5 linked regions of the Ovis aries genome follow. The protein of the gene in region 1 binds, or shares a complex with, the protein of each later gene. Links are inferred from orthologs where the notes say so. Each region holds a gene or a part of one and is shown in the gene's direction. Other genes may lie near its edges. The genes, in order: NUP153, E3 SUMO-protein ligase RanBP2, NUP160, NUP214 and CETN3.

Region 1 (5,957 bases):
TCTTTGCTGTTTTCTCAAGACAGCAAACCAGCAACCACATCAAGCACGGGTACAGCTGTCGCCCCATTTGTCTTTGGCACAGGAGCCAGCAGTAATAATGCTGCAAGCTCTGGCTTCAACTTTGGAGCTACAACCACATCTAGCTCTGCAGGTACGTTTAAAGACAAAAACATGTTGTAGTTGAATTGGCTTTCATTATAAGTAGATGATCTCTTAGTGTATAATATCACAAGAAGGCATGGCTGCATTTAGGTCGTTTCTAGCTGGGATGTTGTAATTACTCAGTGTGGAATGAAGTACATTTTGAGTTTAATATAATTCCGGACCACAGCCTTGTCTAACTCAGTGAAACTAAGCCATGCCTTGGTGGCCACCCAGGACAGGTGGGTCATGATGAAGAGGTCTGACAGAATGTGGTCCACTGGAGAAGGGAATGGCAAAACACTTCAATATTCTTGCCTTGAGAACCCCATGAACAGTATGAAAAGGCAAAATGATAGGATACTGAAAGGGGAACTCCCCGGGTTGGTAGGTGCCCAAATATGCTGCTGGAGATCAATGGAGAAATAACTCCAGAAAGAATGAAGGGATGGAGCCAAAGCAAAAACAACACCCAGTTGTGGATGTGACTGGTGACAGAAGCAATATCTGATGCTGTAAAGAGCAATATTGCATAGGAACCTGGAATGTCAGGTTCATGAATCAAGGCAAATTGGAAGTGGTCACACAGGAGATGGCAAGAGTGAATGTCAACATTCTAGGAATCAGCAAACTAAAATGGACTGGAATGGGTGAATTTAACTCAGATGACCATTATATCTACTACTGTGGGCAGGAATCCCTTAGAAGAAATGGAGTAGCCATCATGGTCAACCAAAGAGTCCGAAATGCAGTACTTGGATGCAGTCTCAAAAACAACAGAATGATCTTTGTTCGTTTCCTAGGCAAACCATTCAATATAATGGTGATCCAAGCCTATGCTCCAAGCAGTAATGCTGAAGAAGCTGAAGTTGAACGGTTCTATGAAAATCTACAAGACCTTTTAGAACTAACACCCCAAAAAGATGTCCTTTTCATTCTAGGGGACTGGAATGCAAAAGTAGGAAGTCAAGAAACACTGGAATAAGAGGCAAATTTGGCCTTGGAGTACAGAATGAAGCAGGGCAAAGACTAAGAGTTTTGCTAAGAAAATGCACTGGTCATAGCAAACACCCTCTTCCAACAACACAACAGAAGACTCTGCACATGGACATCACCAGATGGTCAACACTGAAATCAGATTGATTATATTCTCTGCAGCCAGAGATGGAGAAGCTCCATACAGTCAGCAAAAACAAGGCTGGGAGTGACTGGCTCAGATCATGAACTCCTTATTACCAAATTCAGACTTGAAATTGAAGAAAATGGGGAAAACCACTAGACCATTCAGGTATGACCTAAATCAAATCCCCTATGAGTATACAGTGGAAGTGAGAAATAGATATAAGGGACTAGATCTGATAGAGTACCTGATGAACTATGGACGGAGGTTTGTGACATTGTACAGGAGACAGGGATCAAGACCATCCCCATGAAAAAGAGGGGCTTCCCTGGTGGCTCAGAGGTTAAAGCGTCTGCCTGCAATGTGGGAGACCTGGGTTCGATTCCTGGGTCGGGAAGATCCCTGCAGAAGGAAATGGCAACCCACTCCAGTATTCTTGCCTGGAAAATCCCATGGACGGAGGAGCCTGGTGGGCTACAGTCCATGGGGTCACAAAGAGTCAGACACAACTGAGCGACTTCACTTCACTTCATGGAAAAGAAATGCAAAAAAGCAAATGCCTGTCTGAGGAGGTCTTAAAAATAGCTGTGAATAGAAGAGAAGCAAAAAGCAAAGGAGAAAAGAAAAGATATAAGTATCTGAATGCAGAGTTCCAAAGAAGACCAAGGAGACATAAGAAAGCCTTCCTCAGCGATCAATGTAAAGAAATGGAGGAAAATGACAGAATGGGAAAGACTAGAGATCTCTTCAAGAAAATTAGAGATACCAAGGGAACATTCCATGCAAAGATCCCCTGCAGAAGGAAATGGCAACCCACTCCAGTATTCTTGCCTGGATAAAGGACAAGAATGTGCTCAATAAAGGACAGAAATGGTATGGACTTAACAGAAGCAGAAGATATTAAGAAGAGGTGGCAAGAATACACAGGAGAACTACAAAAAAGAGCTTCACAACCCAGTGATCATGATGGTGTGATCACTCACCTAGAGCCACACATCTGTAATGTGAAAGTGGGCCTTAGAAAGCATCACTACAAACAAAGCTAGAGGAGGTGATGGAATTCCAGTTGAGCTATTTCAAATCCTGAAAGATGATGCTATGAAAGTGCTACACTCAATATGCCAGCAAATTTGGAAAACTCAGCAGTGGCCACAGGACTGGAAAAGGTCAGTTGTCATTCCAATTCCAAAGAAAGGCAATGCCAAAGAATGCTCAAACTACTGCACAGTTGCACTCATCTCACACGCTAGTAAAGTAATGCTCAAAATTCTCCAAGCCAGCCTTCAGCAATACGTGAACCATGAACTTCCAGATGTTCAAGTTGGTTTTAGAAAAGGCAGAGGAACCAGAGATCAAATTGCCAACATCCACTGGATCATCAAAAAAACAAGAGTTCCAGAAAACATCTATTTCTGCTTTATTGACGATGCCAAAGCCTTTGATTTTGTGGATCACAATAAACTGAGGAAAATCCTGAAAGAGATGGGAACACCAGACCACCTGACCTCCCTATTGAGAAACCTGTATGCAGGTCAGGAAGCAACAGTTAGAACTGGACATGGAGCAACAGACTGGTTCCATATAGGAAAAGGAGTACATCAAGGCTGTATATTGTCACCCTGCTTATTTAACTTACATGCAGAGTACATCATGAGAAACACTGGGCTGGAAGAAGCACAAGCTGGAATCAAGATTGCCGGGAGAAATATCAATAACCTCAGATATACAGATGACACCACCCTTATGGCAGAAAGAGAAGAGGAACTAAAGAGCCTCTTGCTGAAAGTGAAAGAGGAGAGTGAAAAAGGTGGCTTAAAGCTCATCATTCAGAAAATGAAGTCATGGCATCTGGTCCCATCACTTCATGGGAAATAGATGGGGAAACAGTGAAAATAGTGTCAGATTTTATTTTGGGGGGGCTCCAAAATCACTGCAGATGGTGATTGCAGCCATGAAATTAAAAGATGCTTACTCCTTGGAAGGAAAGTTATGACCAACCTAGATAGCATATTCAAAAGCAGAGATATTACTTTGCCAACAAAGGTCTGTCTAGTCAAGGCTATGGGTTTTCCAGTGTTCATGTATGGATGTGAGAGTTGGCCTGTGACGAAAGCTGAGTACCGAAGAATTGATGCTTTTGAACTGTGGCGCTGGAGAAGACTCTTGAGAGTCCCTTGTACTGCAAGAAGGTCCAGCCAGTCCATCCTAAAGGAGATCAGTCCTGGGTGTTCGCTGGAAGGACTGATTTTGAAGCTGAAATTCCAATACTTTGGCCATCTCATGTGAAGAGTTAACTCATTGGAAAAGACCCTGATGCTGGGAGGGATTGGGGGCAGGAGGAGAAGGGGATGACAGAGGATGAGATGGCTGGATGGCATCACTGACTCGATGTTCATGAGTTTGCGTGAACTCCAGGAGTTGGTGATGGACAGGGAGGCCTGGTGTGCTGCAGTTCATGGGGTCACAAAGAGTTGGACACGACTGAGCAACTGAACTGAAAGGAACTCTTGGAAGCAATTTTCTCATCTCATTAAGAGTGTCTTTAGTTTGTTCAAGTGTTTTTTAGTGTAAATAACCAGACACTGAAGATTATTTTATTAGACGTTAGTCCTCTTTATGCAGTGGATACATGATCACATAATAGTCAGTATCTGCACTATGTTGCCTTTCCGATAGGAGATCAGTTGTCTTCTTAGATATTTAAAGACCTGAACATTTTTGGCTGCAAGATAGGAATCTTGTTAATTGCAGTTTTTATGGATTCTGTATGATTTTACTAAATAATGGTAGCAAGCATTGTATTTTCTTCATCAGTTATTCAAAACTTGTCCTGATAAGGTCTGTTCAGCAAGGTAAGAGTCTGCAAACAATCTTGATATGTGCATTTCAGTTTACAGACAATTGAGGATTATCTGTTTAACCATCCGTGGTGATTTAAGTGTGTCTCTGGGTCTCTAGGATCCTCCTTTGTGTTTGGCACTGGAGCTTCAGCACCATCTGCCAGTCCAGCGTTTGGTGCTAACCAGACCCCAACATTTGGACAAAGTCAAGGTGCCAGCCAGCCTAACCCCCCAGGTTTTGGATCTATACCATCTTCAGGGGCATTATTTTCTGCTGGTTCTCAGCCTGCACCACCTACTTTTGGGACAGTGTCAAGCAGTGGACAGCCTCCTGTGTTTGGGCAGCAGCCTAGTCAGTCTGCATTTGGCTCTGGAACAGCTCCTAATTCCAGTAAGTATGCAGTAATGGTGTAGTTTGTATCCCTACTTGAGTTTTGTATGTCTTCAGTACAGTTTTTTTTCTTTGAGTTTTGAAACCATGCACATCTCTTTTCTTCGATCTCTTGTACTTGGCAGAATAGAGACGTGTATGTTTAGATTTACCTATAAACAGCATTCCCAACTCTCTTCCCAACACAGTTAAGCACTCTGTTTTGTTTTGTTTTTTAACAAGGCAGGTGCAGGTTTTAAATAAATGATTTGTTTATTACATATGTATGTATTTATGTATGTTTGGCTGTGCTGCATCTTCGGTGCTGCGCTCAGGCTTTCTCTAGTTGCAGTGATCAGAGGCTCCTCTGCAGGGCTCGGCCTCCTCACTGCAGTCGCTTCTCGCGCTGTGGAGCACAGGCTCTGGAGTGCGGGCTTAGTTGCTCCATGGCGCATGGTATCTTCCCGGACCGGGGATCGTGTCCCCTGCATTGGCAGGTGGATTCTTAACCACTGGACCATCCGTATCCTGTTGATGAAAGTTTGAGTTGTTCTTAGCTGTCAGAACATGCAGCTCTGCGTGCATCTTAGTACATCACAAGATTATACGCACTCTTTCTGATGGATTGTGCCAGTTCACATCGTTCCAGCATTAAATGAAGATCCTCATATTTGGATGCTACTTGATTTCATTTTTTGTGAATTCTTTCTGTAATTTTTTGGGTCCCTAATACTAATTGGTTATTTTGCTCTGCTTATTGATTTGTAGAAATTCTTTATGTATTTTGAATGTTAGTATTTTGTTAGCTAGTACATGTAGCAAAATTTCTTCTGTTCTGTGACACATGATAATCATTTTAATCAGAATTTAATGATTCCCAACCCCTCAATACAAAATTGAAGACTTTAGCTCTCTTTCACACAGCTAGGAATGCCTTCAGTTCTAATAGAGTGATACTGTGTGGTTAGATCACTATGTTAAATATGCAAACATTGTATGATATACTGTGATTTTTCTTTCCTAGACAACATTTTGTTTTTCCTAGCCTTAGTGATTTCTTCTCATGGTTAATATTTGCTTCTCCCATTTGTATATAACTACTTTGTTTTTTCAAGTACTTTGGCTATTTCTCAGTATCTGAAATTTTACCACATAATTTTTTTAAGTTTTTTTATTGGCTTTTATTTTTGCTTTTGTATTGATCTCGTTGATGACCAGTATTATTTAAGTGTACGACATAGTGATCCACAATTTTTAAAGGTTATATACTCTATTTATAGTTACTGTAAAATATTGGCCACGTTCCCCATGTTGTATAATATATCCTTGTAGCTTACATTATACAGAATAGTTTGTACCCCTTAACTTCTCCCCTGTCTTGCCTCTTCCCCCTTTCTGCTCACCACTAACAACCAGAAGTTCTTCCTGTGCGTCTGAGTGTGTTGCCTTTTTGTTATATTCAATAGCTTGTTACATTGTTTGGATT
Region 2 (6,451 bases), on another chromosome or scaffold:
TGCAAACTGCTCATTAGGGAGGGAGAGAGAAAGCCAAGAGTGACACATAGAACTCTATGTTTAAAGTTTCTCATCCTGGCTTATGACTTTTTTATCAGCCAGTTTTACCTGATTAATCTTGAGTCCTCAACTTCTGAATTAATTGAACTGACAGGCACCTAGCATAGAGCAAAGGTATCCATTGCTGATCAAAATCAAGGGTTTCTTCATCTCAAGTTCCTCTGTGCTCTTCCTCTTTCACTTACTCCTTTTCAGTATATTCAACTAAAACAGATTAAGGCAGTAATTTTATGTGCTTGCCAAGGTATGCTTGGCAAGGTTGCTTTACTGTTCACACCCTCCGTTTCCTATCTGTCCACCTGGGCATAAGAACAAATAACAGTACTTTCATTAAGTTGTTGGGAGAATAAGTCAGTACATGTGATGTTGAGCTGCAGGCCACAGGCCTTGCCCAGGTTCAAGACTAAAAGCCCAGAGTAAGCAACAGGAAGAAGCACAAGCTGGAATCAACATTACTGGGAGAAATGTCAACCTCAGATATGCAGATGACACCACCCTTATGGCAGAGAGTGAAGAGGAACTAAAAAGCCTCTTGATGAAAGTGAAAGAGGAGAGTGAAAAAGTTGGCTTAAAGCTCAACATTCAGAAATCGAAGATCATGGCATCCAGTCCCATCACTTCACGGCAAATAGATGGGGAAACAGTGGAAACAATGTCAGACTTGATTTTTTTGGGCTCCAAAATCACTGCAGATGGTGATTGCAGCCATGAAATTAAGACACTTCTTGGAAGGAAAGTTAAGACCAACCTGGATAGCATATTCAAAAGCAGAGACATTACTTTGCCAACAAAGGTCCATCTAGTCAAGGCTATGGTTTTTCCAGTGGTCACGTATGGATGTGAGAGTTGGACTGTGAAGAAAGTTGAGCACCGAAGAATTGATGCTTTTGAACTGTGGTGTTGGAGAAGACTCTTGAGAGTCCCTTGGACTGCAAGATCAGCCCTGGGTGTTCTTTGGAAGGAATGATGCTAAAGCTGAAACTCCAGTACTTTGGCCACCTCATGCGAAGAGTTGACTCATTGGAAAAAAACTCTGATGCTGGGAGGGGTTGGGGGCAGGAGGAAAAGGGGATGACAGAGGATGAGATGGCGGGATGGCATCACCGACTGGATGGACTTGAGTTTTAGTGAACTGCGGTAGATGGTGATGGACAGGGAGGCCTGGTGTGTGGCGATTCATGGGGTCACAAAGAGTCGGACATGACTGAGTGACTGAACTGAACTGAAGCGAGGGGAACTTACCCACCTGAAGCGAGGTCTTGGAGCAACATCCCCAGGTGTGTAGCAGGACATAGGGGCAGGCTCACTCCCTTGGGGAAAGGGATACTACCAATTAGAGAGGACTTGACCTCCTGTTAGAGAAGGCAATGGCACCCCACTCCAGTACTCTTGCCTGGAAAATCCCATGGATGGAGGAGCCTGGTGGGCCACAGTCCATGGGGTCGCTAAGAGTCGGACATGACAGAGCGACTTCACTTTCACGCATTTGATAAGGAAATGGCAACCCACTCCAGTGTTCTTGCCTGGAGAATCCCAGGGACGGGGGAGCCTGGTGAGCTGCTGTCTATGGGGTCGCACAGAGTCGGAAAGGAGTGAAGCGACTTAGCAGCTGCAGCAGACCTCCTGTTGACTCATTATTTACCAAGGAAACCAGCAGAGGGACTCGCTCCTCACCATCCCTTAGATTAGTTAACATTAGCTGGGGTCTGGACCAAGTACCCTCCCAGACCAGCCACCCTTATTCACATCCAACAAACCTGAAACAAAACACACCATGATGGTTTCCCTCTTTATAAAGAAAATAATTGCTCACTGTAGAAAATTTGGAAAAATGGAAAAATCAAAAAGGATAGCCTGTAAGAGGCCAGATTAGCTCTAAGTGTTGAATAAAACTATTTTAAAAGGATAAAAAGTATCCATAACCATAAATCCTGAACTCCCTGTATACACAGGATGTGATCTTTTCACTACTGAAAACATTTTCTACAACTTGTCTTAAAACTACGTCCGAAAAATTCAAATTCCAAAAGAGCGCTTAGATATAGCCGACTGGCGCCGCGGCGTGACGTCAGCACCGGGAACAGCGCGTCCGGCTCGAGAGCCTGAGGGAGAGATATTTCCGGACGAAGCTGCTACCGGCAGGTGTCATCTTTAAGCACTTTCAACCGCGTCACACACCCCACGAGCTTCGCGTTCCCGCGCTGCGCAAGCGCGTTCACCTCTGCGCGCCGGCGTCCGCGGGTCTGCGCGGCGCACAGGATTGACGCAGCTCTCACGCATGCACGCACCCACGCAGGCGCGTCGCCCTCTCTCCGGCGACGGCGCTGCGTCACGGACCTTCGGGCGGCGCGCTCCCGAGACGACGGCGGCCGCTGCGGCCTCGGCGCTGGCGTTCGTTATCCAGAGCCCAGTCGGCGGCAAGATGAGGCGCAGCAAGGCCGACGTGGAGCGATACATCGCTTCGGTGCAGGGCTCTGCCCCGTCACCCCGGGAGGTGAGCGGGCCGGGGCCATGGCCTCCGGGCGGGCCCACGGCGGCGGCGCCATGTCCCCCGCTGAGGCGCGGCCGGGCGGCCGGCGGCGGGCGGCGGGCGGGAGACGGGGAGGCGGCGGGCGGGCGTTGGCTCTCTCTGTTTCTCTTCTTCCTCTTTCGTTTCCTGCTCTTCGTTCCCGGCGCTCGGGCGTCCTGGGCTCCACGCCGAGGCGCAGCCGCCCCGCCGCCTCTCACTCACCGCTTTGGAAGCTGCTTTCCGGGCATTTTGTTTTTCAACGGAGTTCCGGGGGTTCTGAGTTTCCGTCCGGGCCTTGTTTTTGGAGTAGACTCTGTGGCTTTCCGGCGACGTCTCTCGGGGTACTCTGCCATCTCCGGCGTAGTTTGGGAGCTGGGTGCCCAGGGGATCCCGCGGACCTTGATGCCAGAGGGTGGGCGGAGGGGGCCCGGACCCGGATTCGCTGCCCAGGGCCGAGTCGCAGCTCCGCCAAGCACGCGCTGTGGGATTCGAGACAACTGCCGCTTATTTCATTAATAGGTTGGGAGTTAGGGTATCGATAGGAGTTTTTAGGATGGGCTATGATAAACATTTAGGGCAGTGCTTGGCACGTGGTAAGCTCTCAGTAGATGTGGCTGTTACAGGGACAGTCATTCCAGGTGTTCTGGGCCGGAGCCTATGCGAATAAAGATGTATGAGGAAATTAAAACCAGCGAACAGTCAGGATTGTAACGGCACCGTAATAGTGTCTTGGTTACCACATACTAGGCATATATTATTTTACTTTGTGCTCCCGACATCCGTATCCCTGGGGAATTCAAGATACTTTTCCGGGGGCACATGGTAACCCAGCAGGATTTTGGCAGTGGGTGTGATTTCTTTTTTTCAGGAGTATGGAGTGGGTTACAGCCTATGGCTCTGGAGGAGGGGAATAGGTGCCAACCTTCAGGTTGTAACTTCCAGCTGCTGGCATAGCTGTGAATACGAATGTACCTACCAGAGTCAAAAACAGGAGCTCATTAATCATTCTCTCTGTCCCTGAAACTGATGTGGCCGTTTTTTGTTTTTTGTTTTTTTCTTCTAAAGCAAGTTAAGCGCTTTTAAGAAATTTTTAGTGGGCACCCTGGCTCTCCAAAGCCTTAAAAACCACTGTCTAGACAGGAATTAGAATGTTCTTTGAACTAGGGAACTTTTCCATCAATAAAGAAGAGTGGGCACAAAACTTTAAGGATTGGTTATTATTGTCACCTCTTTTACATTTATAAAGAGTTATTATAATCAGATGTTTTTCTTCAGACAAGGAGAAATCATTGACTTTTGAACCTGGGGACTTCAGTGGGATATTGATTAGCAAGTGCAGTAGATAACTTTGGGTCCCAGATAAAGACCTAAAAGAGGTGCTTTAATCATAATAGAAATGTTTAAAATAATAATTCAAGGAGTTAACATCCTTTAACTAGCTATAGTTGGACTTTACCTGATATTTAGCAGCCTGATACCTGGATCTCAAGGACATAGACCAGGAAGAAAGGCTTCAGGTGGCAGGAGGAGAGGGTTAGGGGACAGCCAATGGGGGACCGATTCCACTTCCTGCAGGAGAAGCGCTTCTGCTATGATTGGAGTCACAGTTGTTGCATAAGCTAAAGGATTGCTAATGAACATCAGGAGAAAACTTTGATAGTCAGTGTCCTGGAGAGACACTGCAGGACAAGGTCCTAGGTGGACCTCTAGAGAAGCAGAGAGTAAAGAGAATCCCCAGATTCAGCTGTTTAAAATCTGGTGCTAAAATAGCAAAGTTTTTATTTGGTTTCAGTTGATTCATGGGGCTTCCCTTGTAACTTGGTAGAATCTGCCTGCAGTGCGGGAGACTGGGGTTTGATTCCTTTGTCGAGAGGATCCCCTGGAGAAGGAAATGGCAACCCACTCGGGTATTCTTGCCTGGAGAATCCCATGGACAGAGGAGCCTGGCAGGCTACAGTCTCTGGGCTCACAAGTGTTGGACACGACTGAAAGATTAAGCACACAGACTAAAATAGGACACTGAGGGAGGCCTCAGGTGCAGAGTTGATAAAGGCTTGCTTCTCAGGAGGTCCTGGGGTGGATCTCCAGGAATCGGGGATGGGTGTTCAGAGTAGGAAGGTCCCTTGCCCTCAGGATCCTGATTAACCTCAAGAAATGAACTGTGAAACTTTTAAATTAGACTTTGGTAAGAGTATATTAGGTCTTCCTGGCTTCCCAGGTAGGTCAGTGGTAAAGAATCCACCTGCCAATACAGGAGACTTGGGCTTGATCCCTGTGTTGGGAAGATCCCATGAAGAAGGAAATGACTACCCATTCCAGTATTTCCTGGGAAACCCCATGGACAGAGAAGCCTGGTGGGCTAGAGCCCATGGGGTCCAAAGAGTCGGACATAACTTAGCAACTGAAACAAAATAAACAAAAACTTCGGAACACATGACAATACTATAATCGTGGGTGTAAGTGAACATGGTGCTTTGGCCAGGTTGGGAGGGAGATGGTAGAGGGAGCAGAGACAGTGGCTGTGAAGAGTATAAAAAGATTAGGGTGTCTGTACTTGGTACCCAGTTGGGCAGACACTGGCAATGTTGGACTAAGTGCTGTGATGGGTCCATAGTCATATATCTTCCCAGGCTTCCACTCATCTCTTGACTTCTTTTGTTTTGCCATTTTCTAGTCCTTTACACCTGCTTTTGATTTTGTTAGGACTTTGCAAGTGGTGCAGTTGGTAAAGAATCTGCCTGCCAATGCAGGAGGTGCAGGTTCCATCCCTGAGTCTGGAAGATCCTCTGGAAGAGTAGATGGCAGCCCACTCCAGTATTACTGCCTGGAAAGTTCCATGGACAGAGGAACCTGGCGGGCTACGGTCCATGGGGTCTCAAAGAGTTGAACGAGACTGAGCACACACAACCAATACCTGCTTTTGCTTTTACTGAAAATATGATTTCCTTTTTTTTTTCCCCTGATGGCTTCTGTTTAGTTTTTCTTAGTTTTATATCTAGTTTTATATCTTAGTTTCTTAGTTTTATATCTAGGTTTTTACTCCACGCCCCTGATTTCCTGCTTCTCAGAGGCAGCTTCACAGCTCTTAGTTATTTGTTCTACCTTAAACATCTGTATGTCATACTTCTGAGTAATGTACATATTACAGTTGCTCGTCGAACAGCACAGATCCACTTACATGAAGGGTTTTTTTGTGTTTTTTTTTCAATGAATACATAGAGCAGTGCTATGGGATCCACAGTTGGCTGAATATGAAGATGTGGAAGCTTGGATATATATGGAGGACCCAGGGTTCTGGAGGGAGAGTGTGTGTGTGTACAGGGGGACGACTGTTAAGTATCCATAGATTTTCAACTGTGCAGAGGGTCAATGCCCCTAATCCTTGCTTTGTTGATCTACTTTTCTCCATTTTAAACCCTTTCTACTGACAAAAAATGTCTTTACCTAATGTTTCATTGGGTTGTCAAATCTAGGTTTGAAATAATTTTTTTCTTCATTTTGAGAGCATTGCTGCATATTTGCAGTGTGCTGTTGGAGGTTATATGTGGTTCTTATTCTTGATAGCCTATAGGTTTTCTGGAAGTTTTCTTTCAGTTGACAAACTTACTTCCTTCGCTTCTGGAACATCTTGTATTTCATTGAGCATTTTTTTCTTTCCTCTCTCCCTCTTTTTTTCCTATTATCTTTCTGGTGTTCTTATTGACTGAAAAGTTGGTTCGGGTTTGGCCATCCACATTTTTCTGTCTTCTTTGTTTCTTCTGTTGTATTTTTTGATAGATTTCCTTTAACCTAACCTTCCAAGAGAACAGGATTAGGAACTCACTGTTGGGTACCTCAACTTTACTTGTCCTCTCTATAACCCTTACCCCTCACCCTTGTCAG
Region 3 (5,957 bases), on another chromosome or scaffold:
ATATATAAATAAACTGAAAGCCCTTTGGAGCTCCCGGGGATGTTTATACTTTTTAAATCAGAATTCATTAACTCAAGTACATGGCTAATGGCAGAATTTCTGGTAAAAGATAAGGAGAAAACATTCTGGAAGATGATTGGTTTAGGACCACCAAGGAGAAGCAGGACCCTTTCCTGAAAGTTGTCTGTCTCTTTGCCTCACAGCTCATGGGATCTTAGTTGCTTGATCAGGGACTGAACCCAGGCTTTGGCAGTGAAAGCCCAAGTCCCAGCCACTGCACCACCATGGAATTCCCTTTGTGGTTTTGTTTTTTGAGTTTGTATTGTATTTTAATATTTATTTATTTGGCTGCATCCAGTCATAGCCGGTACCTTTGGGGTCTGTTCCCTGACCAGGGATTGAACCCATGCCCCTAAAGTAGAAGCGTGGAGTCTTAACCACCAGACCAATAGGGAAGTCCCAAAGCGACACACGTTTTTAAGGCTACTGATATTCTTGTCAAGCTTTCCTCTAATGCTCGTATTTATTTTACCCAAAACAAGAAGATTAAGAAATGTCTTAGATTTCCCTGTTCCTCTTCTTGGTGAAAGTTAAGCAGTCTGTTACCGTTTTCTTTTTCGCCATCAGCTCCTGTGGCCTGGTGAGCTGTTTTTGTTATTTTGCGCTGATAAGTGGGTAGATCCTTTTGCTGCCTGCTACCCCAAACGCAATGGGTGTGTCGCTTTTACGTATGCCCTTTGTAACTGTGTTATTTCACCGCCACCTGAACCTAAGGGTTATCCTTACTAAATACTATTTCCTGTCTCACCCACCCACCCATGACATACAGGTAATCTTGGGAGCTGGCCAGCTCTTTCAAGCCCAGCAAGACCTACTGCATCGAACAGCTCCCCTGCTCTTATCTTATTACCTCATTAAGTGGGGAAGTCAGTGCTTGGCAACTGATGTTCCAGTTGACACCTTGTGAGTTTCCGTGTTCTGATTATTTTAGAAATAAATTGTGAGCTTGATGATTCTTTTCCACTGTCTAATAGAAAAGCAAATTGAATATTGTGCTGCAGCAGGATATGCCTGTGACGCTCAGAGCTTTCAGATAGCTCCATTATCTAAAGGTTAGAGGCAAGTTATAAGAATGAAAATGATACAAGAAGAATGAAAGCAATAAATATGTATTATTATTATATGTGTGTATGGATAATGTAGAGACAAATCCTGTGGAAAGCGAAAGAAGAAGATGAGGTCACTTTGCTGTATGACTCGGAGCTCAACCTGGTGCTCTGTGACAACCTGGGAGGGTGGGATGGAGGGAGAACCGGGAGGGAGGGGACATTTCTGTGCCTGTGGTTGATTCATGTTGACCTGTGGCAGAAGCCAGCACAATATTGTAAAGCAATTATCCTTCAGTTAAAAATAAATAATTTTTTTTTAAGTTGAGGTCACAGAGAAAGTTAGGCCACGTACGAAAATATGCTAATTATCAAGAGTAGACTGAGATTCTTTATAACCAAAGTAAGAAAGAAAATTTAACGTGTGCCTAACAGACTGACACTTCAGTTAGATAAGCCACTTTGCTTAAAAGGACAGGGAAGTCTTTTCATGGCATGGAGGCCTAAGCAATTTTTGCCCTGGCTTCGTGAAGGATCGCGGGGTGACATGATGGGAAATAATCTAAGCCACAGCTCACTTTCCAGACACTTCTGTGCTCTCAGTGGCGCAGTCATGTGCAGTTTATTAGTGAAACTGACAGCGTTTTAATCAGCTAACTGGTTGAAGTAATGTTAGCATAGGAAAATTTATTGAGCTTTTTTGGTTTTTCCCCCTTTCCTCACAGGGAGTCTAATCTTCAACATTTATCAGTACTGGAACTAACTGACTCTGGTGCTTTAACGACAAATAAGTTTGGTAAGGATTGGACTGTGTGTGCATTTGATTTTAAGTTTGGCATTTATTGAGTGTCCATTAAGGTGGTCTTTTGCCGCCTTGCTTTAGCAAAGGTGCCTCGGCTGTGCTTTCAGTTTGAGAGGGTGTGAGCAAGCTGTGTCCTGAGACCTCTCTGGTTGTGACAAGTAGTATCAGATCAGACAGAAATGAAGAGTGTTGCCTGTATATATGCACACGTGTGTCCCCAATCATGTCCAACTCTCTGTGACCCCCCAGGCTCCTCTGTCCATGGGATTTCCCAGGCAAGAATATTAGGGTAGGTTGTCATTCCCTTCTCCAGGGGATCTTCCCAACCCAAGGACTGAATCCATCTCTCTGGTATTGGCAGGCAGATTCTCTACCACTGAGCCACCTGGGAAGCTGTGTGTGTGGGTGTGGGTGTGTGTGTGTGTGTGTGTGGTGTGTGTGTGTGTACCCCCAGTGGTTAATCATTTTTTTAATTTACTAAGTTCGTATAGCTTTTGTAATCTTGTCTCCATCAGCAGATATTCAAAAGGAGTCCTCTCTCATGCTTGAGAACCATTCTGGAGAGTTTATTCTGTGTTTTGGTATAAAATTTAGACTCTTAGGACTATGTTTATTGGAAACACTTTGAGAGGAATGGCGTGACTGTCATGTTAATTTAGTGGCTCTTTTATTGTATTTGTATAGTACTTCATAGTTTACAGATTGCTTTTATTTATATTGCCATTGATTATACCAGTGATGCGTTTTACGTTTTTAAATAATGTTCTTTGTGACAGGCGTAAAATGAATTGGTAGGCTGTCTTAATTGAAAATTGATACTACTGTCACAAATTGGTGACTGTTAAAACTTTTTATTTTTAAGTATCTAGCCCTCAGACAATTGTGGAATTATTCTTCCAAGAAGTTGCAAGAAAACACATTATATCTCATCTGTTCTCTCAACCAAAGGCGCCTCTAAGCCAAACTGGATTGAACTGGCCAGAGATGATCACTGCAGTTACCAATTATTTATTGCAGCTCTTGTATCCTTTCATTTAAAAGCTAATTGAGAGGGGTTTTTTTCTATCCAGATAGTCTAAGATTCAGGAATATTCTGCCTGTGTAATGAAAAATTTTAATGAGGTTGGATGTTTACCACCCTCCCCCTCCCCATCCCAACGAGAAATGATAGTTATTTTCAGGTATCCCTTTTTTTTTTTTTTTTTTTTTTAATTTTTTTTTTGCTCAGGGGTTGAGCCACATTTTATTGGTGCACATACAGTTAATACCTAGGTTGCTTTTAAAGCATACATTTATCAAATATTTATTGAATGGCTTTGTATGCCAAGCCCTGTGTTAGGTACTGAGTATCCATTGGCCTAGTATGCTTGGGCAATATCCTAGCTAAAATCAGAAGTGAGCACCAAGAGGTGAGATACATGCCTTAGTTCTTAGCTGGTTGCATTCTAATGCAGGTGGCCAGGCTCCTAGTGTATAACCTTTCCACTGTGTTTAATATTAAAGCTACATAGTTGTGTAGGAAGAACATGTGTTGTACCACCTTCTATTTACCTTCTTTTTAAAAATTAAGCCATTTCATGGAGTTTGGGTGCTCAGTGTGTATATTTAAGCTTTACCAAAACAGTAAACAGTTGCCTTAACCAATGACTAGATGGCCTAGCAATCCTGGTTGTCTCTTTCTAGAATGTTTGATGGGAAATTGTCAGTATGTACAATTGCAGGTGAGTACCGTTGAACATTTCAGGACAGTTATTTTTGTAAAGAAGGGGATTTCTGGAACTTTTTTCTTTGTAAATGTTTCTTGAATTTTAATTGGGCTGATAAGACCCACATTAATTTACACTGGATTACATGGAAACATACACCAGAGAGATTTTCTTTACTTCATTCTTGGCAGTATCATTCCTAACACAGTGTTTTATGAAGTACTTTTTTGTTAATTCTCTCTATTGGGATCTCTTTATAGAAAGAAAACGTATCATTGTCTTCATATAAATCCTTCACTGGAATCTAGTCAGTTGAGCCAGTAAATACCAAAAGTTGGAAGATTGCCAAGATGGAAAGTGTGTTTGTTTTCGTGTGATAGTGTTATTAGAGTCCAGTTTGCTTTCTTAGCGTGTCTAAGAACTTATTAATAATTTAAGAATGGATTAACAGGGTTTGCTTTTAACCTCCAGATGCTTTCTGGAAATACAGCTTTTGTGTTGAATGACCACTATCTTCTCTCCCTCTGAAGAACATGGAAATGAATATCTCCTTAAGGGACATTTATCTTCTAATCAGAAACCACCTTTTTGCCTTTAAGGATTATATTCAGTTGCTGCATCCCTGGTGTCAAGTCAACGTTGGTTCCTGCCGATTTATGCTGGGACGATGTTACCTGGTTACGGGAGAGGGACAGAAGGTAAACTGCATCTGAAAGATGAGCAGACTTTAGAGCAAGGAGGACACTCAGTTTCCATCTCAGGGAGGGGATTGGAGGCCTAGAATCCTCCAGATAAGGGTAAAGAAGACTAACAGTGCCAGCAAGGGGCATGATCTACCCGTGGGGACCATTTAGCTTCATGTACTTTACAGATTGTTTAGGACACAGGAAAATATGAAGAAGAATACTTTAAAACCCTCCTGCCCCTGTGCAGTGCTTATAGGGATACATTTTTGTGACGAAAATATTTCTCAGATACATTGTTTTTATAGCATGTTTTTTTATGCTGGTTTTTTTTTTCCCATTATGGTAGTTTACATTTCTAATTTTTTTCCCTGACATCCTGTTATGTAAACTTTCAGACATAAAAGTCCAAAGACTTTCATACTAAATCCCCCACTCAGATTCTACAAAAATTAACATGGTGCTATAGTTGCTATATCACTGGTATCCATCAAATATCCTCTTAAAGTTTACTTTGTAATTAGCAACATTAAATTAAAAAGTTAGATAAATTAAAATATTAAATAATGCATCAGAGAATTTAGATACAACAAACAGTAAATGCAGTCATTTACTTACTTAAATAATTTTCTTTCTTTTTTTCGGCTTTTCTCGGTATAAGAACTCTTGGCTCATATTATCTGGAAGTGGAACAATCTATTATAAGTCATTTTGTATCCTTCTATTCCTTCAGGCTCTGGAATGTTTCTGCCAGGCAGCATCCGAAGTGGGCAAAGAGGAATTCTTAGATCGCTTGATCCGTTCAGAGGATGGAGAGATTGTGTCCACCCCCCGGCTGCAATATTATGACAAGGTTCTGGCATGGTTTGGTCCTTCTTACACCACACTGGGTAAACATGTAACAGGGGCAGGGAGGCAGATAAATGAGTGTGGGGTTAGCATATACACTTGATATATAAACTAGGTAGACGAGGACCTACTCTGCAGCACGAGGAGCTGCACTCAGCGTCTTGCAGTTCCGACCCCGCCGGGTCTCTAGCTGCTCGAGGGCGCTCCAGCTGCGTCGAGCAGGGGCCCCTGTGCTTGCGGTGCTCGGGCTTCCCACCGCAGCGGCTCCTCTTGTAGCAGCGCGCAGGCTGCAGGGGCGCGGGCTGTGGTTGTGCCTCAGTGGCTTAGCTGCATGTGGGGTCTTCCTGGGCCAGGGATCGAGTCTGTCTTCTGCGTTGGCGGGTGGAGTCTTAGGCACTGGCTCGCCGGGGAAGCTGAAACATGAAATAAAGTGAATTGTATCCAACCTGAAGTGCCCTCATATTTCTCCCTAGGTCTTGCGTCTGCTGGATGTCGTAGGTTTGCCTGAACTGGTTATTCAGTTGGCCACATCAGCAATAACTGAAGCAGGTGATGACTGGAAAAGTCAGGTGAGGACTAACTGTGTCCTGTTTATTACCCTGGAGCTTCCTCATGGGTATGGTGTTCTGATTTCTGTTCTTTTTTCCCCGACATTTGATACTTAGGCCACCTTAAGGACGTGCATCTTCAAACATCATTTGGATTTAGGGCACAATAGCCAAGCCTATGAAGCGTTGACCCAAATTCCTGATTCCAGCAGGTAATCAAACCCACAGTCTTACTTAGAGGAGGCATTTTACCAGCCCTGTGT
Region 4 (5,957 bases), on another chromosome or scaffold:
TTATCATATAAGCCTTCCATGAGAAGGCAGTATGTAGCGCTTCTCGACTAGGAGCTAAAACTTTAACTCAGAAGGGAAATTTTAGTGCAGTTGTCAAAGACTTTTGAATCATTTAGGATTCAAATTAAGAAGTTTGTTTCCATTTCTGGCTAATATTTTAGAAGAAAGTTTGAAAGATTATATATCCTAACCTCTTTCAAGGATTTTATTGGAGAGTTTTTTGTCACTCTTGAAATTAAGAGTCAAGAACATCTCAGGGGCAGTTAGCATGACTTGGAAAGAAATTTCTAAGATTCATCATTCAATGATGATTGTGAAATATTCACTCTCATTGCTAGATGTCCTTCTGTTTCTATTTGCCAGAAACAGACTTTTTTTAGCAGGAAAATTTCCCTGAAAAACACTATTTAAGAGTTTGCAAAAACTTCTAACAAAAACAAAAAGTCATCTCTGAAACCTCTATAGAATAATTCCCTTATTAATTAATAATGGAAACACCTTCATTGTTTTCCTGATTTTAAAGCTGTTGCTGCTGCTACTGCTAAGTCGCTTCAGTCGTGTCCGACTCTGTGCGACCCCATAGACGGCAGCCCACCAGGCTCCCCCGTCCCTGGGATTCTGCAGGCAAGAACAGTGGAGTGGGTTGCCATTTACAGGACCACAAAAAGTCTACCGTGTGGAACTGTATAATGTAGAAAATTTGTAAGTTCCCTATTCCAGAGATAATAGCCCTCAAAGAATTGATGTGTCTTGGGGTTTGATGTATATCTGTTGGTTTCTTTAAACAAAGATAGCCATATCCTGTATATACTGATCTGTAATCTGTCCCCTCTCCTCCCTTCCCCCAGGAAAATATCATGTTCATCTTTTCAGGTCTGGTATAAGTCTGCCTGTCTCATTTTAATCCCTTCGCTGTACAGTTGTACCCTGTTCAGTTTTTACCAATACTCTGCTGATAGTTCAGATTGTTCTTAACTTTTCAGAATTATAAGTAAGGCTGCACTAGACATCCTTGTCCGCATCACGTTGTATTATAGTAGTGTTTTAGATAGTTTTGCAAATCTTTACTCCATACTCATGTAAACAGAAGATGCTTTTTCTTATTGTTTGGGTTGGTTTGATTTGGGCTTCTCGAGTGTAATTCCCCCAGCCCTCTTCTCCTTTTAGAAGGAGAGGGAGAGGTGGGGGGGAGAGTGTGGGTACTGCCCCAGCCTGTTAGTGAGCAGCCACAGTACACCACATGTGGGGAGACGACGGGCTACACTTTAACTCTCCACTCTTCTCTGTGTGACAGCAGTCGTGTTACCTCTGTAATAAAAAATAAAGAAGCAGACCTGTTATTAACTAATAGTAATACAAGAAGTCTCTGGAAAAACAGATGCGGCGAGAAAGCCAGCAGCCGTGAAGTCACTACTCAGAGATGTTTCACATGACCTGTTTCCCCTTGGAGTTTCTTTTCCTTTGACATGTATCACATTTCATTAATTGCAGAATCTACTTTTAAAGCCTTAAATTTGACCTGCACTCCAGTTACTTTGATGTCTTTCCTGGAAAGGGTAAAGTGGCATGCCTTGGTTTGAAATTGACAGTTGACAGGGCCAGAGAGCCCATTCAGAGACCTTGAGCACGACCGAGTCCTCACTCTCCCCTTGACTGCTGACCTACAGGAAGCACGTGACCTGGGGCTGCGCTTTGCGTGGCACTAAGCATTCAGTGCCACAGAGAATTAAACTAAAATGGTGTTGGTTTTTTTGTAATGCTCTTCTTTTTTTCCCATAATTCCAGGACCAGTGGCAACCAAGATAGAAACAGCTGTGACTTCTACCCCGTCTACTGTTGGGCAGTTCAGCAAGCCTTTCTCATTTTCATCAGGGTCAGTTGTAAACTTAAGTTTTGTGGCAGATCACAAAATCCTTATAGATTGCTTCTCCAAATCTTATAGTCAGCGGGTATACTTATATGAAGCCAGAGTTCTTATCTCCACAGTGACACATTTAATGATAGTGGGAGTAGCTTAGTGTCCTAATGTAAATCTGTTTGCCCTTTTCGATTCAGTTTTATATGTGTGTTCTTACTGGCTTGTTTGTTTTGTTGTTTAGGATAAGCCTTGTTTGGGTAGTGGGTCTGTGGTTGCTCTAGTTTATCACACCGAGATCTTTTCATTCTGACACCATCTGGCGGCTGGGTGAGACCTTGGATTGGCTTCGCTGCCCCGAGAGGTCACATTATACTAGACTGCTGAGCAATCAAGACAGTGGCCATTTAAGAATTGGGGTTTTATATAGATGTGGGGAAGTCCATTTCTGTTTCATTTTTTTTAAAGTGATGATGTCTGTACTTGTCAAATTGAGTTATTTTTAAAAACAAAAGGGTCTTCTAACCCTCAGTCCAAAGGAAGTTCTTATTAACGTTGGAGGGGGCATACCTTTTCACTATCCTGCGAACACTCATCATGAAACCTGTGAGAGTTGGCAGAGCATCTCTCTTCTTTGGGGTGGAGTTAGTCTCTGTGTGGCTGAGATAAATACTCATCCAAAGATTGTTTTCACTGTGAAGGGTTGCACATTCAGTTCCACTAGAAAAGTCTCTTAAGCTCTTCCAGTTTATGCTTTTGTAACTGGAATCACACTGACCACAGTCTCTTTTCCCTGCTGTGAGTTTGTTTCTTGAACACCCTTCAGCCTAACACATTACGAGAAAGGAGGGTGTTAGAATAGAATTTTAAGGGGGAAATCATATATATTTTCCTGTAAATCATTAGTTTTCTACTCCCCAAAGGTAGTTTGGAGCACAGTTTTAGAGAGTAGGTCAGTTCCAGGAGCTACCGCATCTGTTAATTAATCTTTACTTCTGTGAACCTGATACTCTTCTTCCCGTCTTTAAAATAACCTACAGAGGTTTGGGTCATAGGTCAGCTGCTTACCTCTGTTACATCAAATTTCTTCACCAGAGTTGAGACAAAGAAAGAGATTTGTTTTCTTTTTTTTAAGATGATAAAATATTTAACACATCTTAGGTGGTCTTGGACCATTTGATGAAGCCAGTGACGAGTTTAAAAAAAAACCCAACTCTACTCTTTACTGTTACTTACTCTTTTTGATATGCTCGGCTTTTTATCAGGTTGCCCAAAAAGTTCGTTTGGGGTTTTCCATAACATCTTACAGAAATGCCTAAATGAACTTTTTGACCAATCCAACAGTTTTTAATTTGCTATTTGAACTTTTCTCAGAATGAGTACTCCATTCTGGCTCAGCTGGTGCTGAGTTTTCTTCTTTGCTTATATTGTCTTCACTCACAGGGTGAAGAAAATGTACAGAAAGAGAGGAGAGGATGAAAAGAATCAGATAGGTTTTTGAGGGACTTTTCCTGGTGGCCTAGTGGTTAGGGTACAGCTACAGCGCTTTCATTTCTGTGGGCTGTGTGCAGTGCCTGGTCAGAGAAGTGAGATCCCACAAGCCACTTGGTGCAACCAAAATTTTTTTTTTAAAGTTTCTGAACCAAATTTCCCAGCCGAGGACTAAGCGTTTTGTCCGAACAGCAAAGACAGTGGCTTCCATTTCATACTGTCTGTTGTCTCCCCCAGTGGCATGCGCTGTCCTGACGTGCTCCCTGGGTGGGTCATAGGCTCCTCCTCACCTAGCCCATCCCGTCCGCCTCACTAGGCGAGCCAACCGCTCCAGCCACCATCCCAAGGCACAGTCCTAGTGCTCCTTCACTTTCCTTGAAATAGGTCCCCACCCCCTCTACCATGGGAAGCCTGGCTGTTCCTCCAAGGCCTCCTCACTGGCTGCTTCCCTCTCACCTCACCCACACATCGCTCCCCCCCACGCTCTGAGAGCTCTGCGCTGCTGCTTCAGAGGCAATGCGCTTGCTGATGTTTATCGATAGATTGCAAGTCCCTGAGAGTAGATTATGTGAATGGATTATAAATGTACTGTTAAAGGGCAGTGTTGCGCCTTAAGTCTGTTCGTTTTTAACTTCTTTTCTTCCACCCCTAGGACTGGCTTTAATTTTGGGATAGTCACACCAACACCGTCTTCTAACTTCACTGCCACACAAGGTACAGTCTCTGCATTGAGTCGCCTCACTTTCGTGTTTCCCTCTAAACAAGTGCAGGTTTGAGGGAGGCAGGTTGGTTGACATTTTACTTGCTGCTGCATTTTGCTTAAAGTATCTGCAGTGAACTTGGTGTTGATATTATGCATTAGAAATAGGCTGGATTTAAGAAACTGTGGGGAATGACTTTTGTCTTCATAGTTAAAAACTCAGAAAGGGTTTGCTTTTAGAAAGGCAAGGCTGTGCTTTAAATGTGAATGTTTACACGCAAATTAAAATTTCTTTCTCCATCTTTGTCATATGGTATTTAAAATTATATCAATTTTTAATAATCATAATATGTAGTGAAACTATATGTAACTTTGTTCTGTATTTTCCCAGTTTCCTGTAGAGTGTTATCATACTTTCATAATTTAAAAAAATTTTTTTTGTTTGTTTTGTTTTAAAAAAATTTTTTAAATGAAGTCAAAATTGTATCAATTTGTAGGTTGAGATAGGCAATGGTAAAGAATCCACCTGCCAAGGCAGGAAACGCAAGAGATGCTGGTTCAATCCTTGGGTTGGGAAGATCCCTTGGAGGAGGAAATGGCAACCCACTCCAGTATTCTTGCCTGGGAAATTCCATTGACAGAGCCTGGTGGGCTGCAGTCCACGGAGTCCGACAGGCCTGAGTGATTGAACACACACGCAGTACTGTAGAAAGGAAAGACTAAACTCGTGTTTCTTTCCTTGATAACCTATCGGGAGACACACTTGTCCCGCGCACGCTGGTGCAGATCTGCCAGCGTCTGTTGTTGTTTAGTCACTGAGTCAGGCCTGGCTCTTTTGCAGCCCCATGGACTGTAGCCCGCCAGACTCCTGCTGTCCATGGGGTTGTCTGGGAGTTGATTGCCATTTCCTTTTCTTGGGGATTTTCCCAACCCAGGGATTGAACCTGAGTCTCTTGCATTGCAGGCAAATTCTTTATCACTGAGCCAGCTGGGACGCTCAGACCAACATCTACCAGCATGTTTTTAATGTTTAAAAGACTTTGAGGACCTATCAGAAACCAGATGTATTTTTTAAGTGCCTTCAAGTTCTCAGTTCAAAGTAATTGAGTTTACTTCTGTTTTAAAAAGAAAGCTTTTATTATAAAAGTGTTTATATTTTTTATTAAAGTAATATGTTCTAGAATTACACATTGTACCCTTAACCATTCAGTTCTATTTCCTTTTGGGATTTTTTGCTTCTACCTTTTCATTTAACACAATCCTTGTGAGTTTTCCAGTATTAGTGAGAGTCTTGTTTAAATGTCATTTTTAGTGGCTACATAATTTGTCATGCAGATGTGCCCTAATTTATTTAACCATCCCCCTCTTGAACGGTTCAGGCTTTTTCCAGGTTTTCCTATAATAAATAAGACAATGACCATCTTTCAACTTTTCCTTCAGCATGTACTTTTACGAGTGCTTTTCTGTGTGTCAGCCCAAGTGATGAACATTTTTTGGTAAAAAAGGGATCTCTTAAAATCTGCTAGAGGGATATTCGGGAGCTGAAAGCATACCAGGCATCTTAAACCCAGTCTGTGTGCGGCACTTAAAAGGTTGTTGATTTCATTCTGTCTTTTCTGTCTGGAGCAGTGATTCCTAAACGGTTCTGTCCACTTAGATGTGGACCACTTGAGGCCCACTCCTCTCCCGAGTCTCACTTTCTAAAAGAAAAACAGCTCAATGGTATAAAAAGATTGGCAAGAACAAAATAATTGTCAGAAATCCTAAATGAAATACATTAGGAATAAAACACAACAGAAATTCCATAACCATTTTCATTAATACTCGAACAGACAGCAATCCAGAATCACAAGCAACTCAGTACAACTTCAGTGATACAAAGAGGGGTTTCTGGAAGTTATCTGCAGATAC
Region 5 (6,511 bases), on another chromosome or scaffold:
GAAGTTGTATAAAGTATTTTAATAATTTTTGAAACTCTTTTAAACTGTCAACTTTATTAGTGGCAATATTCCCTTTCTTGTTACAATTCCCTAATTCTGTCCATTTTATTGCTATTGCCAAAAACCAATTTATTATTAGATTATGAGACTATTTATCAATTACTTTCACAATTTTCTTCTAAAAACCTATTTTCTTTTCTTGTTGTTTTATCTTTAGTAATTTCTTCTTCCTAATTTCAATTAGTTAACTTTGTTCATTTCTAAAATATTCAGATTAATGTTGGTTTACTTTTATTCTTATTTAATAGTAAAATAACCTTGTTCTATAGTTTGGTCTGTATCTTACCATTTTAATATAGTTTTCCATTGTCATTACTGTCTAGTGTGTAATTGCAGTTTTACTGTCCTTTTAGACTCAAAGGTGATTTATACTCTAAAATTTAGAGTTTTTAGTTCTGTTATTTTTTGGGGGGCTATCCTGTAGCTATAATTCTTAGCTTTACTTCATTATACCATCTCTGACTTTTTGCAACACTCATGGACTGTGACCTGCCAGGCTCCTCTGTCCATGGAAATCTCCAGGCAAGAATACTGGAGTGGGTTGCCATTTCCTACTCCAGGGGATATTCCCCACCAAGGGATCCAACTCAGGTCTCCTGCATTATAGGTGGATGCTTTACTGTCTGAGCTATTATACCATCTTTCAGTTTAGTTCAGTTCAGTCACTCAGTCGTGTCTGATTCTTTGCGACCTCATGGACTGCAGCACACCAGGCCTTCCTGTCCATCACCAGCTCCTGGAGTTTACTCAAACTCATGTCCATTGAGTCGGTGATGCCATCCAACCATCTCATCCTCTGTCATCCCTTTCTCCTCCTGCCTTCAATCTTTCCCAGCATCAGGGTCTTTTCAAACGAGTCAGTTCTTCACATCAGGTGGCCAAAGTATTGGAGTTTCAGCTTCAGTATCAGTCCTTGCAATGAATATTCAGGACTGATCTCCTTTAGGATGGACTGGTTGGATCTGCTTGCTGTCCAAGGGACTCTCAAGAGTCTTCTCCAACACCACAGTTCAAAAGCACCAATTCTTCGGCTCTCAGCTTTCTTTATAGTCCAACTCTCACATCCATTCATGACTACTGGAAAAACCATAGCCTTGACTAGACAGACGTTTGTTGACAAAGTAATGTCTCTGCTTCTTAATAGGCTGTCTAGGTTGGTCATAACTTTCCTTCCAAGGAGCAAGTGTCTTTTAATTTCATAGCTGCAGTCACCATCTGCAGTGATTTTGGAGCCCAGTAAAATAAAGTCAGCCACTGTTTCCATTGTTTCCCCATCTATTTGCCACAAAGTGATGGGACTAGATGCCATGATCATAGTTTTCTGAATGCTGAGCTTTAAGCCAACTTTTTCACTCTCTTCTTTCACTTTCATCCGAGGCTTTTTAGTTCCTCTTCACTTCCTGCCATAAGGGTTGTGTCATCATTGTATCTGAGGTTATTGATATGTCTTCTGGCAATCTTGATTCCAGCTTGTATTTCATCCAGACCAGTGTTTCTCATGATGTACTCTGCATATAAGTTAAATAAGTCAGGTGACAATATACAGCCTTGACGTACTCCTTTCCTGATTTGGTACCAGTCTGTTGCTTCTTGACCTGCATACAGATTTCTCAGGAGGCAGGTTAGGTGGTCTGGTATTTCCATCTCTTTCAGAATTTTCTACAGTTTGTTGTGATCTGAAAGTCAAAGGCTTTGGCATAGTCAATAAAGTGGAAGTGGATGTTTTTACCATCTTTACTTACCCAAATTTAGCTCATCCTTCTAGGCTTAACATATATGCCATCTCCTTCAAGAAGTCTTTCTTATACCTTCTGTGTTCTCTCTCTTCTCTAAACGTGTACATGTATCTCTTTATATTTATGCCACAGTTTTATATATCAATATCTTCCCTCTTCTGTTACTGGACACCTACTCTCTGGCTATTTCATTCCTTTTTGAGATTTGCAGTTTAGCTCAGTACTTTGCGATTTTTCACAGCAAGATTCCATTTAATGCAACAAATATCTACGGAGCAGAGGCATCAGACATTTACAACGAATCATACATTGTTTTAGGCACTAGGAATAGTGTTAAATGAAGGATATAAGCCTTTTAAGATTAGTAGGAGAGATGAACAGTAAAGATATTAAATGTCCAAGTGAGCTTTAAGAGACTTCGTTTGGTGGTGAAGATAACATCATGAGTATAAGCAGCTTACAGCACTCGAAAATAAAGGACAAAAACGAACAAACCAGTTCAAAGGAGGAATAGGGGAGCAAATGGCCCTTAGGTACAGCTTCAACCTTAAATAGCCTAATAATCCAACTCAGTGATTATCAAAATATAATCCGCAGTATCTGCTTCAGAATCATTTGAAGTTTGTATAAAAAAATGCAGATTCACACCTACTAGAAATTAGAATGAGTGATATTTAAATCTGCGTTTTAAACACACTCCCCATGTACTCAAACCATCCAAAAATGTACAATACAGTAGAGTCAAGTTTCGCAGACACAGTTCGAAAGCCGCTCCCTCCTTCTAGCCGGAGGAGAGCCTGCGGCGTATCTCATCCCTTCCCTTTCCACCGGGTCTCCGGACACTGGGCCACATGCCACAGCCTTTCTGGTCAGAAGCATAGCTCGCCACCTCCCACCTGAGTCCTAGCTTCTCTAGGATTGGGGTGGGGCGTGGGGGTGGGGCGGAAAGCAACAGGCCAATCTACAGGGGGAGAGGCGTAGCAGGGGATGCCGGCAGGGAGATCTATTTGATTGACGTGAAATAAGACCAATGAGAGCAGAGGACAAGTGACGCTTTCGCCTCAATGGGCAGGACGTTAGCGATTTCAACCAATCCAGCTCAGGAGTGTCTTGCTTTGTGGGAGGTTTTTGAGACCGCTGAGGGTCGTTGGCGTCTGTCGAACGGCTTGTGGAAGTCTTGCTGCTCTGGGTAGGGGGTTAAAATCGTTCTCGAGAGGAACGCCTCAGTCCGAAGAGAAAATGAGTTTAGCTCTGAGGTCGGTAATGAGGAGACGGCAGATGCACTCCACACCTCGCAGCGGGCCCCAGGGCGGTTGTGTGTGGAAGGGAAACAGCTGGGGGCCGAAGCGAGGAAGGGAATGCAGTTTGGGACGAGGGACGGGATCCTTGGTCAACGTTCCCGGGCCCAGACCCCTCCCCTTGGGGGCCCTGGTGAGCTCTGCACTTTAGCTGAGGCGGTCATTTCTGTCAGGGCACTGGCTTTAGACCGCCAAAAAGCCGGGCTGAGGTAGTCTTGAGGAGGCAGGGAAATATCGCGAGGTTTCAATGCGCGGTGTTTATGCGAGAAACCGGGAAACCAGGCCTTGGAGCATCCCTTGGTTCAGTGCCTTGTCCACGGCTTCCATCTCGGCCGACTTTCTGCTAACATGCGTGCTCAGTCGTTTCAGTCGTGTCAGACTCTTTGTGACCCTATGGGCTGTAGCCCGCCAGGCTCCTCTGGGTGTGGGTTTCTCCAGGCAAGAGTACTGGAGAGGATTGCCCTGCCTTCCTCCAGGTGATCTTGCAAACCTGCGTCTCCTGCATTGCAGGTATATTCTTTACCCACTGAGCCACCTGGGAAGCCCCCTACTAACATATTTACCCGTAAATTTTGGAAACAACGCAAAACCTCTCCTCTTTCTCCTGGGGCCCTGCAAAAGGGTATAATCAGAGGCCCCTTTTAGTGATTTTAGTTGGTAATCTCTTAGCTTTCCTAAATTTTCTGATTTTACTTTTCATTCATTTCCAACCTCTAACCCACTGTTTGTTGCTCCCTCTCCCAACCACAACTAAAAGTTTTACCTTAAAAGTGTTTATGTAGTTACGCTTCAGTAAAAAGGAAGCGAGTTCTGACGAGGAAATGAGGTCTACTGTCGGTGGGTTGTGAACTTTGGTCTGGTCGGAATCTTGGGAAGAGAATAACCCCCGGAGTTTCCAAGTTTTTGTGAATTCAGGTCTCTTGTGAAAGAAAGAGCTTTATCATAACCTCATTTGGTCATTTTCTAGTCATCTCTTGCCTTTTTAGAGTAGATTTCACAGAATTAAAGAAAAGTCAACTGGTTTTTACATTTTTAAAGTTTATAGAATTCTTGTTTCAAAGCTTGTACAAGTGTTGTAAGCCCCATATGAAAATTTGAAATGCTTATATTGGCACCTCTTAAGGAATACATTTCTAGTTTTTAGAGTAAATTACGTTTTGTACTTTAAGTTTTTTCAGAGTTTGTGACAAACTGTCTAGATGTACATGCTGAGATTTATGAGACAGTTGACTCTTCACCTTATATATAAATAAAATACCACAAATATTAAGTACTTTTTTGGTGTTTGATATTCGTGGTATGCTTACGTTCATTATTTTGGCTGATTTGTTAATATCAATGGGAGAAATTACAAAAAAGTGCCAGTTTAAAATGTGTAGTCTAAAAATACTAGTCTAAACTGTGCCAAAATAGTTTGTAAATTAATTGATGAATTAGATTTTTTGGCAATAATTTTGATAATTCTAAGCACTATGAAAGTAAACCTAATATATAGAGATCAACAATTGTGAATTGAATTCTTATTTTTTAAAACAGTCTGTATTGTAGAATGATGAGAATAAGTATGGGTGTTTGTTTTTTGTTGGGGTTTCTGACAGAACTGTTTCTTTTTCACAGTTCTTGTTTCTTCCACAGTAATATTAGTGGGAATGAATACAAAGCTAGGAAGAGGAAAAGCTAGGTCCTCATTTCTTTTAATAACCTTTTAAAACTGTAAAACTTTTCAGTTTTAGGGAGGTACAAATTTAAAGCAGCTTAGACAATGGATTGAGCAGGGCTTTGATTCATGTAAGGAAATTTTTTATAAAATACTTTTTAGAAGTTTAAAACATTCATTGGCTAATTTTTTTGTTGCATTTTTGGAATTTTATCATTTAGAAGCATATGACAATAGGATTAAAGTGGACTAAATAGACTTTTTTCTTATCATTCCATAGAAATGACCTTGTAGTAGACAAAACAAAGAGGAAAAAAAGAAGAGAACTCTCTGAAGAACAGAAACAAGAAATTAAAGATGCTTTTGAACTATTTGACACAGACAAAGATGAAGCAATAGATTATCATGAATTAAAGGTAATACACTTAAAATATATCTTTTCTATTAAAACATTTTGCATTTTTGTCCACTGATTAAAAATGCATTTCTAAATATTTTAATTGAACTGGTTTTGGAAATGTAAACCATTTTAAACATTTACTGTTAAGCTAAGCTGAGTCACTTCAGTCGTGTCCGACTCTGTGTGACCCCATAGACAGCAGCCCACCAGGCTGCCCCATCCCTGGGATTCTCCAGGCAAGAACACTGGAGTGGGTTGTCATTTCCTTCTCTAATGCATGAAAGTGAAAAGTGAAAGTGAAGTTGCTCAGTTGTGTCCGACTCTTAGCGACCCCATGAACTGTAGCTCACCAGGCTCCTCCATCCATGGGATTTTCCAGGCAAGAGTACTGGAGTGGGGTGCCATTGCCTTCTCCAAAAGTTGAGTAGTACTTGTATCTTTTTAGAAACTCCTTTTCACATGGTAAAATGAATAATATTTTAAATGTAAAAATATATTCCTATAGAGGGGCTTATTTTTCATTCACATAATTAAAATATTTGAAACTGAAGGATTTAAACAGTCTAACCATATTCCTCTTCCTATTGTATGTTTTTTTTTTGTTTTTTTATGACTCATTCATTTCTCAGATTGAGGCAGTGTTATTTGTTTTCTAATTTAAACATGTTAGTAACAGTCTCAACCTATTTTCTCTTATTCAGATGATATAAGTGGTGTCTGATGTTGATGCAGTGCTAATGGGGAAAAATATCAGTTTTAAGTTTTAGAATTTTTTATAAATAATCAAGGGGAAATTGGTGTTTAAGATAGTTTGGATCTTAAACTCAGCACAATGAGTGAGGTAGCATCCTTGTGGCTCTTTAGCTTACTTTCCCTCTGGTTTAGTTACCTAGCTTTGATCAGCTCTTCCTTTATTATGGGCTTCCTTTGTGGCTCAGCTGGTAAAGAATCTGCCTGCAATGCTGGAGACCTGCGTTCGATCCCTGTGTTGGGAATATCCCCTGGAGAAGGGAAAGGCTACTCATTCCAGTATTCTGGCCTAGAGAATGCCATGGACTCTATAGTCCATGGGATTGAAAAGAGTCAGACGGGTCTGAGCAACTTTGACTTCACTTCACTTCCTTTATAATGTCTCTTCTGTTTGTGGCCATTCTTATTATCTTGGTTTGTGATTTTTTATATCTGGAACTTGGTTTCTCCATTTCCTGTACACTGTCATTAGATTCATCTTTCTAAAATTCTTTCATGTTATTCATTGCTCATAAATACTTAGTGGCTCGTCATTGTACACTAGATAGAGTTCAGGTTTTTTTTATTTGCATTGAATGCCTTCCACACTTTTACTACCACGTACTTTTCT

What was found.
Region 2: NUP153 (region 1) and E3 SUMO-protein ligase RanBP2 share a complex: the UniProt entries of both Homo sapiens proteins name them as parts of the nuclear pore complex. The link is inferred for Ovis aries from reciprocal best matches to the Homo sapiens genes NUP153 and RANBP2.
Region 3: NUP153 (region 1) and NUP160 share a complex: the UniProt entries of both Homo sapiens proteins name them as parts of the nuclear pore complex. The link is inferred for Ovis aries from reciprocal best matches to the Homo sapiens genes NUP153 and NUP160.
Region 4: NUP153 (region 1) and NUP214 share a complex: the UniProt entries of both Homo sapiens proteins name them as parts of the nuclear pore complex. The link is inferred for Ovis aries from reciprocal best matches to the Homo sapiens genes NUP153 and NUP214.
Region 5: NUP153 (region 1) and CETN3 share a complex: the UniProt entries of both Homo sapiens proteins name them as parts of the nuclear pore complex. The link is inferred for Ovis aries from reciprocal best matches to the Homo sapiens genes NUP153 and CETN3.

The regions. Positions count from the first base shown.
Region 1 is NC_056073.1:39,069,214-39,075,170, forward strand, and holds part of NUP153 (nuclear pore complex protein Nup153), read left to right. Parts: coding exon 1-151; intron 152-4,219; coding exon 4,220-4,492; intron 4,493-5,957. UniProt on the Homo sapiens protein: Component of the nuclear pore complex (NPC), a complex required for the trafficking across the nuclear envelope. Functions as a scaffolding element in the nuclear phase of the NPC essential for normal nucleocytoplasmic transport of proteins and mRNAs.
Region 2 is NC_056056.1:62,034,806-62,041,256, forward strand, and holds the start of E3 SUMO-protein ligase RanBP2, read left to right. Parts: upstream 1-2,591; 5' UTR 2,592-2,604; coding exon 2,605-2,910; intron 2,911-6,451. UniProt on the Homo sapiens protein: E3 SUMO-protein ligase which facilitates SUMO1 and SUMO2 conjugation by UBE2I. Involved in transport factor (Ran-GTP, karyopherin)-mediated protein import via the F-G repeat-containing domain which acts as a docking site for substrates.
Region 3 is NC_056068.1:76,462,047-76,468,003, reverse strand, and holds part of NUP160 (nuclear pore complex protein Nup160), read left to right. Parts: intron 1-829; coding exon 830-963; intron 964-1,831; coding exon 1,832-1,902; intron 1,903-2,770; coding exon 2,771-2,930; intron 2,931-3,559; coding exon 3,560-3,629; intron 3,630-4,213; coding exon 4,214-4,312; intron 4,313-5,030; coding exon 5,031-5,150; intron 5,151-5,619; coding exon 5,620-5,715; intron 5,716-5,811; coding exon 5,812-5,906; intron 5,907-5,957. UniProt on the Homo sapiens protein: Functions as a component of the nuclear pore complex (NPC). Involved in poly(A)+ RNA transport.
Region 4 is NC_056056.1:5,536,022-5,541,978, reverse strand, and holds part of NUP214 (nuclear pore complex protein Nup214), read left to right. Parts: intron 1-1,785; coding exon 1,786-1,873; intron 1,874-3,998; coding exon 3,999-4,060; intron 4,061-5,957. UniProt on the Homo sapiens protein: Part of the nuclear pore complex. Has a critical role in nucleocytoplasmic transport.
Region 5 is NC_056058.1:87,599,029-87,605,539, reverse strand, and holds the start of CETN3 (centrin-3), read left to right. Parts: upstream 1-2,908; 5' UTR 2,909-3,035; coding exon 3,036-3,052; intron 3,053-5,031; coding exon 5,032-5,167; intron 5,168-6,511. UniProt on the Homo sapiens protein: Plays a fundamental role in microtubule-organizing center structure and function. As a component of the TREX-2 complex, involved in the export of mRNAs to the cytoplasm through the nuclear pores.